Linked DNA regions of Lepisosteus oculatus. The protein of the gene in region 1 purifies or fractionates together with the protein of each later gene. This does not show direct contact. Links are inferred from orthologs where the notes say so. Each region holds a gene or a part of one and is shown on either strand. Other genes may lie near its edges.

Evidence for each region.
Region 2: the proteins of tacc3 (region 1) and enah purify together in Homo sapiens (co-immunoprecipitation; 3 studies listed by BioGRID and IntAct, with this or other methods). This does not show direct contact. The link is inferred for Lepisosteus oculatus from reciprocal best matches to the Homo sapiens genes TACC3 and ENAH.

Annotation. Positions count from the first base shown.
Region 1 is NC_090696.1:5,719,340-5,726,862, forward strand, and holds the start of tacc3 (transforming acidic coiled-coil-containing protein 3), read left to right. Parts: upstream 1-4,490; 5' UTR 4,491-4,599; intron 4,600-6,300; 5' UTR 6,301-6,301; coding exon 6,302-6,466; intron 6,467-6,598; coding exon 6,599-6,750; intron 6,751-7,523. UniProt on the Homo sapiens protein: Plays a role in the microtubule-dependent coupling of the nucleus and the centrosome. Involved in the processes that regulate centrosome-mediated interkinetic nuclear migration (INM) of neural progenitors.
Region 2 is NC_090697.1:58,666,668-58,673,806, reverse strand, and holds the start of enah (protein enabled homolog), read right to left. Parts: upstream 3,040-7,139; 5' UTR 2,948-3,039; coding exon 2,853-2,947; intron 1-2,852. UniProt on the Homo sapiens protein: Ena/VASP proteins are actin-associated proteins involved in a range of processes dependent on cytoskeleton remodeling and cell polarity such as axon guidance and lamellipodial and filopodial dynamics in migrating cells.

The DNA.
Region 1 (7,523 bases):
CTGAGAGTTTAAAGTCTTGAACTAAGTTTTGCAGGGCCAGTGAGCTGGAATCCAATTTTATCGGAGAGCTAGACTGCCTGTCTGTGTGCTCTAAGATACAATTAAAATCCCCTCCCACTATCACGTCTGTGCTACATAACAATAGGGGAGAGTGCCTTGAGTAGCTCCACCCTTCCTCCCACCTCAGTAGGACAATACACATTGATTAGCCGCAGGTTAACGGTCCCCCATTCCACATCCACACACAGCAACCTGCCAGCTATTACCCTCTGAATACTTTTCAATTTGAATGCCCATCCTTTGAAAAGAATGGCCACGCCAGAGGCTCTGTTGTTATTGTCCCCTGACCAAACAGAAGGCCCTTTATCCCACCTATCTTCAAAGCTTTTATACCTCTCTTGATAGGCTAAAGCACACTCCTGCAACATCAACACATCTCCCTCTCTCTGCTGGAGGTAATCAAAGACAGACTGGCATTTAACTCTGTCATTGATACCTCTGGTGTTAAGAGAAATTATGTTTAGAGCCATATTACATAAGAAAGTGGAACCAGTCTTTACAAAACACATTTCTCTTCTGTCTCACCTGTTACCTTCTTCTTTTTCTTCTTACCAATTTCCTGCCAGCCATCCTCTGAATGAGCCTTCATTAGGATGGTCTCCTCTTCCCCCTCACCCACCAGCTGCCGCAGATCCTTCGTGATGGACTGGATGGAGGAGAGGAGGGCATCTGTAGCACTTGCAGAGTCTGAGAAAAGCAGCTCCGCTGAATCCTGGGTATCCTCGCTGGACCCGCTCCACCGGGGGGCCCCACACTGGCCCTCGTTCTGAGGAGCAGGAGTGGGGGAGGGGTCCTCGCTGTTCTCGGGGGTTTTCAAACCCTCGTGCTTGTCTGGTGCAGTCTGCGGTTGTGGGGGCGTAGTGGATTTCTCTTCCACCAGCCCCGGAGCCACAGCAGGACTGATCCTGGCTGGAGGCTGAGAGTCTTTGTCCAACAAGGGTTCTTTGTTTGACTTGTTGTTTGCTTTGGCTTTTCGGGCCGGTTTGGCTGAAACAAGCACTGCCTCATCCTTTCTCATTTTGAGTTTATTGGCGTAGGCGTGAGGGCAGTTCTTAAAAACGTGTCCTTCCGAGCCACATAAATTGCACTTTGGCAGCATTGAACAGTCAGAGGCTAAATGTCCCTGTTTGCCACAGGTCTTGCAGCATTTCACAGTGCAGGACGATGCCAGATGTCCCACAGCACCACAGCGCCGACACACCTTTGGTTGTCCCACATAAAACACATAGCCATTGCAGGCGCCCAGCCGGATTGTAGAGGGCAGGTGCCTTAAGCGTCCATTTACGCTGTCCGGTAGCAAGCGAACTTCGAATTTCCCTGCTCCTGTTTTTATACCGTCAACATCTCTAACCTCAGTTCCATGGTGGACGGTGCAGTACTGGTTAAGCCAGGTGTGAATGTCCTCCGTCTTTGCCAGTTCCGAGAACATAACAACATGCACCGTTTTCCTCTCTCTCTGTGTCAGAGGCTGCAAGTTGATCTTCTCAAGTGCAGGAACTTTCCCTCTTTTTGCCTCAAACACATCCACGCATTGTTCAAACAGAGGATAGGTAGCAAATAGAACCTCAAATGCTTTCTGACCTGGGAGAGCGAAGATGAAATCCAAGTTCCGAGGTTCAAAGCCGAGCTCCTTCTGTAACACTTTTCTGCTGAACTGCACACGATCCATGAAGAGGTCATCCAAAAGCTCAAAACGTACAGCATTCTTGCGGGATCCAAAGGTTGCCATTTCAAAAACTGCAAAACAAACACTGCTCCCACAAAACAAGAAAACAATCCAACTACTCCACCTACAGGCTGATCAAGGTATCTCCCCTGCCATCTCAGTAGGACAATTGATTAGACGTTGATTAGATGCTGGTTAATGGTTCCCCAATCAACACACAGTCACCTGCCAAAACTTTTTTGCATACCTCAGCTTGCTCTCCATGAGACACAGACATGAGGAGAAGCTTGGGGTTAGATAGCAGGGTCAGCCATTGTACAGCACCCCTGGAGCAGCTGGGGCCCAATGGGGTAGGATTCCTCTGCCAGCCCCTGGATTTTACCTTCCAGCCACAGGTGCAGATCCTTAGCCACAATGTCACCACTCAATTCAAGAAGTTTTGTTGGCATGACCAATAAAAAAATCACTGTTGCCACATCATATATAATCAACATAAGATCTACAGACATTTACAATATAGAGACATCATAATACATTTACATACAAATATATGGAGCATTATTGAGGCCATCTACCACTCTCATCTATCACTCCTAGACTGGGAGAGCACGGATACATTTTGGAAACTGTGGTTCATACCCCGGCTCTCTTTGCTGTATTTGTCTGCTGAACTGCATGTTGTCCATAATAAGACAATCCAGGAGCTCAAAGCACAGTGCATTCCTATGACTTCCAACACCTTTCATTTTCTAAAGCTCTGGGGAAAAATACTACGGCTTGTTGCCAACAGCACCACAGAGAAAGGCACTTCTCCATCAGCTATGTGATCATGGTATCGACCCTCTCAGTGTACAATCATTACCTTTGACAATCTGTTTGCAAGGCAAGGTGTTGTCAGGTCCTGGTGTTCTTTTTATATACTTCTATTTTATTTATTCATACTCTGTCTTGTAACACTATCTCAAAGATGATCTAAAACGATGCCTGATGAGTAGATGAGCACACTGAATTTAACAATGATGTTTTTAGTAGAAGATGAAAGGGCACTTGTGTGCTGGCTTGGTATAACTCATTAATCAGTGGATCTCATCCAGCAGTGTTCCACCTGTCCTTTTAGTTTGTTCCATGCTGCTACCACTCTTTGTGCTTTTCTTTCACGTTAAATTTAATGGAGATCTCCTGAGCTCCCCTCTGTACTTTATTTTGTGTTTAAATGCTTCTGCTGAAGAAATGTATTGCAACAGGCCAAGGGCGGCTTTACATGTGTGAAATTCAGTGATTACACCTGAGAATTAAGTTCCGAATTCATCATCCCACTTAAAAAAAAAAACAGTTTTGAGAGTATGTCTGAGAGTAAAGCCCAGAGTTACATCTCCCTGTGATCAAATCCCTTTCCAGTAGTGATCTTAACTAGAAGTGATATAAATTGCTTATTTTTTCTCTAAGCCTAGTCCTAACTTAGTCCAACTTAGTTGGTTTGTTGGACACAGACAGTCCGAGCTCTGTGGATATTTGGATACTTCCTTAGGCACACGGATCAGCAATCTTCACCTGTGAATTCTAATGTATGGCATTGTTCCAAGTTAAATGAACCAGTGCCTGTACCAATCATGGCCTCCTAATAACCCCCATCTATGAACTGGCTTCATCTCTGTTCTCTTCCACAAGAGCTCCTGTGTGGTGAGTGTACTGTGAGTGCAGTATGGGCTGCTGTCGCATCATCCCATCAATCAGTCTGTATAAACCTATGCACATTTTGCACATATTTTATTGCTTTTACAGTGACTATGATCATCACATTTTGCACACACCTATGTATTTATTTTTTATTTTGTTGTCTTTTGTTTTATAACTATTCTTAAGTCTGTTTTTGCTTGTCTTAGGCTGGACTGCTGTAACACATCAATTTCCCTACGGGATTAATAAAGTATTATCTATCTATCATCCAGGTGGGGCTGCACACTGGTGGTGGAGGAGAGTCCCCATTACCTGTAAAGCACTTTGAGTGGAGTGTCCAGAAAAGCGCTATATAAGTATAAGGAATTATTATGATTTCCATTTTTAATATGTCCTGTTTAACAGAATATCGTTTAAAAAAAATTCACAAAAGGCACTAAAACTGAAACGAGAGTGACCACAAAATCCTTTGCCCACAATTTTGTTTGATGTGGTTCTAATCACGTTTTCCCGTTTTGTTTTAGGTTCTGCTGGTATCATTACAGTAGACCAGACACCCTCTGTTTTTTTTTTTTTGCCGGAGGAGAGGAAACTACCACTGCCAGTGTAAAAGTGTTACTGATCACAGAGACATGGAGATGTATCAGATGAAACCAGCCCTCGTTTTATAATTCGGCTTCACTTTTCCCGGGATGAAACTCGGTTTGGTGGCAGTAACACTAATGCTGACCACACATTCACGGAAAAAAAAAACTTTTAGCGCTGCTCAGGACACGTGCATCGTACATTTGCACTGTCGACATATATACACTTCTGTCAATCAATGGCACAACGAATTCAGAGACTGATTATATGTCATCAACAAGCTCAGAAAAACACAGCTTCCGCTGACACAATCCTCCTCTTTAACTAGTAACGCAGCGCTCGAGCTCGTCGTTTCTCCATCCTATTGGGTTATTCGGCAATCAATCATGGTGACGTACCCTTATCTCGCAGCTCCGTCTGTCCTCAGTCGCCATTGGCTGGTTTGTCTTAAAAAAACACCCATTTGCTGACGTGCTCCCTTTCCCGATTGGCTGCTGGCCTCGGTTTAAATTTAAAATGTACTGGGCGGTTTGCAGCGCTTGAACGTCAGGTACGGACTTGAGTGTGAAGAAAGCTGTTCGCGTTTGATGCTGTTTTACTCGTCGTTCGAGGTACGTATGAGTTTGTGCCGGGCTTTAGAAGTAATTGTTGCATGTTTCGGCGCTTTTTATTTTTGATGGAAATCGTCTCTGGGCAGACAGCGGGGTTACGGGGAGAATCGCAGCTTTCTTGGTAGTTGTGTTTTGGATTTTGCGCCTGTAAGGGAAAACGGAAAATTATCTGTCGGCCAGGTTTCACCGGGTAAGCCGCAGTACGTCTTCACTTTCGAGCTGCTTTATTCGTGATGGGACGGATGAATTGCGGCGTTGCTGTGATGCGGGTCAGCCGAAAGACAGTTCATGTGTGCGGGTGTGAGGCCGTGTTCACTCGCGGCTGCCTGCTTCAATGGCTGGATAAGTCATGATCGTGTCATTAAGTGTTGCTAAATCACTGAACGCAACGCCGAACTGCAGGCCTGTTTGTGACAATCAGACTTCTTGGAGGAAAGCTGTCACCTGGGTGAGTTTTTAGAAATTGCCAGTTACGTGTGAATCTCTCTTTAGTCTGTCGAAGCCCGTTTTTCAAGTTTAAGACGCGGTCTATCGCCTGAACCCACAGTACAGGCGATAACGTCTTTGTTGCTCATCTTTGCTAATGATCGATGAGGATGTAATAAAATCAGATGATCGCTGCATCCTTTCGGCTCAGTTCCGGGAAACGTGCATGGAACTTGCTTTCTTGTCCTCACATGTTTAAACGGGGCTGGGAGGTCCTCTCTATGCGGTGACGTAATCTTGCGAAGTACAGACTGTCGGTGAGAGAGAGATAATTCGTCTTTCTTTTTATGTCGTGAATGGGTTTTATGCCTGTGCTATTTGAATTCAACCACAGGTCCTAGAGTTGGACTTTTATCGTTTCTGGCTTCTGATAGCCCCTCCCGCAAGATAACATCTTTGTGTTTAAAATGGTAAATCTTCAGACACGATAGGGACACGTTCTTTGTCACCTACAATAAAAGAGCCAAGTGAAAAATCAGTGCTTTCCAGTATGGTCACATGGGCTGTATCTCAAGGTTTCTGGAACATGTCATTCCGCCCCTGCTTGGGAGTCTTGTTTTTTGTTCTGGTCTTGTGATGACACTGCCATAATGAAATTCATTGTTTTGGTTGGACTACAGGACTGGAAGCTGCTGTGTTTCAGCCTGTGTTGCTGTGTGTGGCCAGTGGTTTTATAGTCATGGAATGCACTGTTTCCTAAACATCAGTAAATAAGTTGAGCATTTACACAATGTTTAGTACATACTAGATTAGTTCTGCAGTGGTTGCCTTCAAAGAGGTTTAAGGATTTATATCTTTTCACAAGAAATCTGGGAAACTGTTTTTTGCTCTGTCACACATTTAGTGAGGTCAAACTGCATGTGATTCTTTTTTAAAAAATCCCAAATTCTTAATTCAGTATGGAAAATGACACCCGGCACTCTACTCCTGACTTGTATGTAGTTTTTGTTTTAAAATTCAAACATATACTGTACATAATCCAGTTAATGAGGGCTGAAAGCAATGAGTGGACCGAATCATGTCCACTGTGTAGTAACTAAAGGTACAGTGAATTTGTGCTGAAGGTGAGTGATATAGTGGATATGAAGTGGTATTGACAGTGGAGTCATGCTGAGTGTGCTTTTCCAAATTGGTCTCCACTGTTATCTGCCAGCCCAGCTGTGGAGCTGGCACTCTGGGCGTGGCCTGTCACTCACACTGGCTGTCTGCTCGCAGGATGAGTGTGGTTGCCGTGAACGATGAAAACTTTGGCGTGGATCCTGCACGAAGCTGCATCAGTTTGGAGACTTGCGATATCCTGCAGCCCACAGGAAGACCCTCCATCTTGCGCCAGTCCCAAAAGGAAAACATGCCTCCTAAAAGCTTGGCAAAGGGAGTGAAGGTATAGAACTTCTGAACTGTGTAAAACGCAATCCTCTTTCCAAATGAGCTCCGTTGGATCTTTTTAATTAAGCCCTTGAACACCTGTGTTGGAGAAGATGGGTACAGTTGCCACGTCTCCCTTTTGTTTCAGGTCTGTTTTCAGACGCCCTTGCGAGACCCCGTGACGCGCAAGATTGTCTCGTCAAACAAGGGAAGCCAGGTGGAGCGTGCTGATGGTCTGGATGACTGCACCAAGGCTATGGAAACTCTTTCCCTGGAAAACCACCCTGCTGCCATCACAGGGTGAGCTGCTGATGTGGGTTTGCGTTTGGTAGAACAGGAATCCACCAGTATTCTTACTCTTTATACCTGCTGCCACTGTTCTTTTTTCTGTGCTTCCTGAGGGGAGAGGAAGGGATAGGCAAAGGTGTTCTTGCCCAAGAGCTGTGCCCTAGAGTACTGTGTATGAGAGGTCACAAAGGAAGAGTCTGGCAAATGTTGAGTTTACCTGGACTTTTTGTGACCAAGCCTACTGAAATAGGACACTCTTTTGAGCTCTCAATACTTATTTTAGAGTGACTACAACTTCTACAGTCTTAATTCTTCATTTTACTGTGCTTTTTAGGTTTATTTTCTGAGCAAAGATTTTGGGACCAGGAGTCCTTTCCCTTTTGCCTTACTTTGCAGGAGTCTCCTGCTTGTTTTGAAGTCTGAAATATTTTGCAGAAAAATTACAAAGTCAGCATTGCATCTTACTTCTTGGGTAAAATTGTAATGTTGTATGTTTTAAACCACTTTAATTTCAAGGTCTTTCAAGGTTAAGACTTTACATGTTTGGATATGCCTATTTAACTGCATGACATTTAGGTCAGTGTTCTTGAATGTCAATACCTTAATACCTTTATATACCAGAAGTGGTGAATTTGACCTATTAGCATTTTAATGATTTTTTAAGACCAGTTGCTAGGCTTATCCATCTGGCTGTAACAAAAGGAGAACTGATGATTGTGGCAGAGGAGGAGCTGAGGAAAGGCCAGGATTTGTTGTGAGCATTTTGCTTGAGGAAGCAACAGTGT
Region 2 (7,139 bases), on another chromosome or scaffold:
AAAGCTATGTTCTTTTCAGCATCCATTTCAAAACAAGTCTGTTCTGTCCATACTGAAAATGTTTTCCGGCTTGTTCCCCCTCAATTTTAAGATGTAGTAGCTTATACACTCATCCCTTTATTATACCAGCACAACTGGGTCCAAGATTACAAAAGCAAACCCAAAATCTACAATAAAATATTGTTATTGATCTTTAATTAACAGTAAAACATAGAAGAATTTGCATTCCAAGTGTTCATAACCGGACACAAACCATCTGAGGTACTTTTTCTGATACATTGATACCGATACTGTGGACCTATGAATTGCTATGCAAGTAGAATTTCCCACTTTTTTTATGGCAGTTGTTACATTTAAATGTATTAGGAGCAGTTATGGGGAGAAATACAATTTGCATGATCTCTATAGTATACCAACAATATAAAATGAACTAATCTAAATTTCTTACTAAACAAAAATTTTCAAATGAATTAAATTTGTGTAGACCCATTACTTGCAGACTGTGAGAAAGCATTGAAGATCGTGGGAGAGGTGACATCAGGAGAGAAATGCGCATCAGTTGTGCAGACAGCCAAGAGGAGCAAAAAATGGAAAAGAAGAACAAGCTACACTCTCAGAGCTTATATTAGCAGGGAAAAGTCACTCATCTTACAAAAACAGATATGCGCATTTGCCTTTTTTAGCAAGTACTTGTAAATGCAGTGCTCGTTTAATGAGGGATGAGTGCATATATATTATATATAGTACTGTAATGAAGTATCATGTGTGTACAGTAACTGTCATCATGCTGTGTTGGGAGAGAATGTTGGCTGGCATGGCACACCACAAATATCTAAAACGATGAATCTGCCAAGTGAAAGGATAACATTAGGCAGGTTAAACATACTAAATCTCTTGGGAAAAAATAAGGAAATACGACCAAGATATTCAAAATCTATTAAAAACCCCACAGAGAACCTAAATTACTACTTCAAGACCTAGATGAAACCAGAACAAGGGGAAATTTTGAAATTACTCCAATGCAGACAGAGGATTAAGAATACAAAACAATTAAGAATAATATGGATGCATGACAAAAAAATCGCCAGGGCTCTTGAAGAATCAGCTTTGTTGAATCTCTCCAAGTAAACCTAAGGAAACTTTTAAACCCACCATGCAAGTTCACAGTCTGTCTTTAAATCTGGTTCTGGTATCTTATTACAACTTGGAGGCCTGCTTGAACCCAGTTATTTTGTACATCTGTTAAAATAATGTGATATATTCATGAAGCATTTCCTGCTACATAACTTTCCAGAAAGGGGTAAAAAGTCCTTGTGTGACAAAATCTGAGACTCCTTAACCAGCATGCTTCCACATTTATGTGACGACTGACAACCTCATTAAGTATTTTTAAGAGAAAAATAAATGTTAATATAGCATTACTATAAATTATATAGTCCTGTGTTCAGTTAGTCTGCCAACAAACAGTACAAGGCAGGAATTGTCTATACATTTCTTGATGCATTAATCAGAAATTGTGGCAGTGCAAGTTTCTAGTACACATCTTGAACCTATTTTCCCTTCAGAACCCATCTTCCATTCCAACAGCAGCACAACAAAAATTTGAGAAAGAAAGCAAGCCTTATTGCTATCTCTGTCCTGAAAAGAATGTACAGCTGGCTGTATCCGGCAAATTCCTAGAGATGGCTCTCTGAGTAAACAGAATTTCAGCTTACTTCACTGGGCTATAGAAACTTATTACTATAATACAGAAACTCAAGTATGCCACAGTTCCCCAAGTATCAAGTGCATCATATCCAAGTGTACCCTAACAATCTTAGGGTACAGTGTTGTAGTGCAAGAGAAATAAGTCATCCAATTCAAATGGCAGCTCCCAAGCAAAGACTGAAAACAGTGATAAGTGTGGTGTTTTTATGTTTGTTTATGATTTAAACACAGCAGCCTGAGAAAAGTTTAAAACCTTAACAGAGATGTGCTGACAAAAACAGTTCTCCAGTTTCAAAAGCAGATAAAGGGAAGGTTATTGTTTGCACATGGATCTTGACAATCTATGTAAAACCTACTAGCAGAACAGCTAAATATGCGCATATAAAAAAAGATGCTGATGAAAAAGCAAAAACTACCTCTACTTTGGGAAGACAGCACAAAACTGGTTTTTCAGAACCATACTATCCACTTAAAAGTGGCTATAAGAATGAAGTACACAGAACTGTGGATCAAGTTCCATTAATTTTCAAAGCCTGGGGAGGCCACAGATTAGTGGGGCAGAAATAAACACCATATATTCACTAGAATAAATTAAAAAAATGATCCGGCATCACACCACTTTCTGCGACCTCCCATCTTTGTGCACGGTGGGATTTAACAGAAGATAAACAAACAGGCTTCACCGACACTGTGCTCCCATACTTCATATACTGTACACATTTTGGTTTTTCTTCCACGAAAAACTCCAGCAATTGGCGGATTTCTAAAGATGAAGAGACAAAAATGAAAGTGATGTGGTTCGTATAAATATAACCACTGCCAAACCAAGAAGAGGGTCTAATTCTACATCAGCCTATTAATGGATTAGTGCAGCACTGGCCTGTGATAGCAGGCTAGTCATGAGTTATTTAAGTCCCACTTCAAATCTGATCACAGCTCATATGCTGTATCCAGTATGTTATCCGAGCACCTACTGTAGGTACAGTCCTACCGAACAAAACATTAAGGAAACATGACGGAAATATAACCAACCACATGACACTAAAATACTACACATATACAAGAGATTACTTTCCCCATCTCATTCCCCTTGTCAACAATAGCACCATATGGAGATATGACATCATTTCAATGAAAAAACTTACACAGCAATAGACATCTCAGTCATGAGGAGAGTGGGCGTGTCCAGCACTTTTACAGCCACTTGGTCCTGAGTATTCACCACATTAAGGAACCTCATGGTTAGAGTCTTTCTTCCTCGCTCGACTGAACCCAGCCTCAGACTGAAGCTCCTCTCCTGCCCATCTGGCCAGCAAAGAGAACCCCTCCTTCTGCGCTAATTCTGTAGGGATGGGCAGCCCTTAAAGAATGTCCCTGCTCCCTAGAATAAACTTGCTGACTGAAGAGAGCCGTGTGTATTTAATTTTCCAGCTAAAGCCTTCCTCCCCCACAAACACCATCTTTTCAGACGGGGAGCCACAGAGCCCTTACACTGCTGAGGATGTTTTCTCTGTTCTCTAAAAAAGCCATACTGCCAGATTCCAAGAGAAACAAAGCAGAGTCAGAGATTGAAAAAATAACAGTCAAATGTGACACTTTAAAAGGTATATTCCATGCTGAAAAAAAGAAGAAAGAAAACACGTTTCGCCGTGGGGCCTCCTTCAGGTGTGTGGCCCCACACCGAAACGTTGTGTTTTCTTTCTTCTTTTTTTCAGCATGGAATAAACCTATTACTTTTTCCTTTGCAGCCTACGCATGCTGATGCAGCTACCCACCTGAACTCCTTTAAAAGGTATGCATGAAATAACGTAAAGCTAATCTTAATATATTAATAAATATTAATCCTAATACTTCTGTGAATATAGGTGCTACTCCCTTAATTGCAGTGCATCAACGAAACGATGTGTGGTTGCTGCCAAGCCCACTGTATTTCTTGTACTTTCCTAGTAAATGCCCAGTGGTCCTGATGATAGAGAGAGCCCAAGAGCACACAAAAAAAAACAATGGTTCACATTTTTCTCAATGAAAAATGCCTTACGAGTAAACAGGAAGATAATTACTGTAGCCAGGCTATAATTACTGCATTACAAAAAGAAAACATATATAACCAACCATAGAAAACAAAGAAAACAAAAATTAAAACACTTCACAGCAAAACGGCAAATGCAAAGGACAGTCTGCATCTCATTCCAACATTCAGACGTCCTTCAGCGTTAGACTCCTTAATTATTTATTCTTTTTCATTATTTATCACACCACCTTGTCACACTTATACTTTCAAGTTGCGGAAGAACAGATGGACATTGATTTTCTGGAAGGGTCGCTGCTGGGCTCAAGACCCTGAATTCCATGTTCACAAGCTGACGATATTTAACCATTCAATAAAGCGTTATCTGCCATGCAAGATGTGCAGACAGGAGGCTGTCAAAGTGAGCTGTGATGGGAAGCAGCTGCAAGGGCACTGCTGCTTTGACTTGTGGTTGTTCCAAGGCCAGTGTGGCATAATGCTGCTATAAAAGGAAAGTACAGAATCCAGAACACACAGAAATATACTGGATGGAGAAAGTAAATGCAACAGTGCTGAACTCCAGAAAGAAAACCCCTGTAATAAAAAGCCAGGCATTCCCACTACTCTTCATTCGTTCATTCACTAGGAACGTCGTACTAATTTGCTTGATTTCTGAGTGGTTTGTTATTTTGTCCAAATTGAAATCAGTTTTAACTTCTATTATGCCCATCCTTTAGAAACACAGGGCATTTTACTTTACTTCCTAGTCGAGAGTCAGCACAACTTTGATGAAGCAGCAGTAAAGGCAGGGGAGAAAATTAATATCAGAGCCACACAAAAACTGACAATCCACTTTCACCAACACAAAAAGCCAAAATCCCAAAACAAACTGGATTTGTACCCTGAAATGCGTTTTTTTTTCTCTGAACGGCTCATATTTTCCTTCTAGAAATATAAAACAAGAAAAGAGAGATTTCTAAAATAACCACTGTCATTAAAATAGGTTTCCCGGAATGTACATTATGTGTTTTAAGGACAATATGTACTAATTAGAAACTCAAAATCCTTAACCCTTTGAGATACACCACAAAGTTTATATTTTATGACAATCTGTAAAATACTACAGTATATTAAACAAGCAGCAATTATTTTTGAGTCTTTCTTAGTACTGGGGCATACCTGTTTTTTCTACAGTAGGTTATACAGCCATTTACTATCTCCTATAAATTTGTGGGGTTTTTTTGTTCTATAAAGCAGTTTGAAAAGCCACTTTCAAAGACACTATAAAATAAATAAAAGGTTTATATTTAAAAAAACATGGCCACACTGCCAGCAAAACGCAGAACAAGTCCTTGGCTACTTACACTTAAGCTTGTACCGATGACGTTATCCTGAACTGACTGGTGCAGAAAGTGCTTGGTGATGTATTTCCAATCTGCCTGGAGTCATACATTAAGCCTAATTTTTTTTTTTGCCTTGACATAGAAATGCTGGTGGGACAGATTTGATCGCAGAAAGGATTTTGTGGGGAAAAGCACTACCAGACAGATGGGAAGAGTACACCACGTCTGTCACCACTGGCCACCCCCACCTGCCACTCCATCTCAACAGCCATGACCACACAGCAAAACCATAAGGAAACACTGTATTGATTTAAATGCACCCAGGCCAAGAAACAAGGTTAGTATACATAGTAAACCTTACAAGCATTCAACACCTAATGCTTTCCTTCTGCTGGGCCTCTTTAAGCTCTGTATTCTTAATTAATGTAAAATTATTTATTTAAAATAATCATTACATATACCACAGGCTCACCCTAGTCTAAAACTAGTTCGCCTCAATAGAGAAGGCCCAGTAATTCCCACATACAGTAGGATTCTTTTCTCCATCTAAAAGAAAGTCTTAAACAACCTTATACAGTATGGAACCTTAGAATTTAGCATTGTACTGTAAGACAGCACTAGGATTTAAGGTAAAATCAATCAGGTTCCACCTTCAAAAACATTTTAATCAGAAATTTGATTTGGCCTTTAATGCTTAACTATTGGGAAAAGCTTAAAGTTTGTGTAAAGCTTTTTAAAAATATAATTCTTTTAGTACAATCTTCATTGCTAGTAACATGTACAGAGTGTCTTTGTATTTACTAATTGCAAATAAACAGGAATAGGAATAAAATTTAGCAGTAAAGGGTGTTGTTAATATTAAGTAAAAAGGGTTATGTACTTTAACAAAACATTCCTAACTTTTCCTCTTAAAAACAACCCAGATTTATATAGTACTGAATGAAGGTGTTGATCTGACACCCCTAATTTGCCCTGTGCTCTATATAAACCAGTCTTGGTAGTGTCAAATGCTTCAAATGCCTTTTGTGCCTTAAGTGAAAGAAACTCTGTAGATGTCTAACTTAACTGGCCATGTGAGATTCCAACACCAGCCCCCATAGGTCCTTTTTTATGTACGAGTAGATCTGATACATAAGAAAAGCAACATTCTGCCAGTACCGTGGGCAATAACCAAGAGCATGCCGGTCAATAAATTATCTTGGCAGGTAAAAAACATCTCGGCAGATTCAAATATTCTGAGTAACTGCCAAAATGTCCTCTTTTCCCATCATTAAAAAAAGCTTTCTGATATGCAATATGCTTTCTTTGAACAGACTACCTCCTGGCCATCACCAAATACATCTAAATAGCCTCAAAGAAAGGTCCACAAGGAACTTTTTTCACTGCACTTTTTTTTTCCTTTTTTTAGTGCAAAAAGCGTACTGGAAGGTTTAGTACGTGTTTGAGTTCTGGTCTATGTGAATAATTTAAAAAGAACAAAGTCCTATTTTCTCCTCCAACGGTATTTATCGTTTGTCACAGAATGAAAAGGGAAAACTTAAGCAAAGTTGGTCCAAGTTGGTGCAAGAGATGCACTGAAATGTACATGAATCTGAACAGCAGCTTTCAGGATATCGGTACAGGAACCACTTTTACATTAAACACCACTCAATTTAATGATCTCACACTTAGAACAAGGTTCTAACTGCAGCCCGCAGAGGTTTCATTTTGGCACAATATAAGAACAAAAGTATTACATTACCAGTTTGTGAAAAATTCTCTATACCATTCTCGCTCGTGGTAGAAAGGAGTACCAAACGGCCAACGTTCATGGCCAAAATGAGAGGGCATATTTTCTGGAAGCATGCATGAATAGGAACAGAAGCCATTTTAATATTTCAGTATTGTCAGCTTGAAACAGACTTGCAGGGAATCAAGATACTGAAAATGCCAAGCTATCATCAAAAAAAGATTAGCCCACACTGCCACTATACAGATGCAATATTAGCATGAGCCTTATTATATTATATTAATTAAGCAACACTCAAGGCTGCAAACTCCAATTTCTCGCACACAGGCAAGAGGAAATGCAATATGGTCTG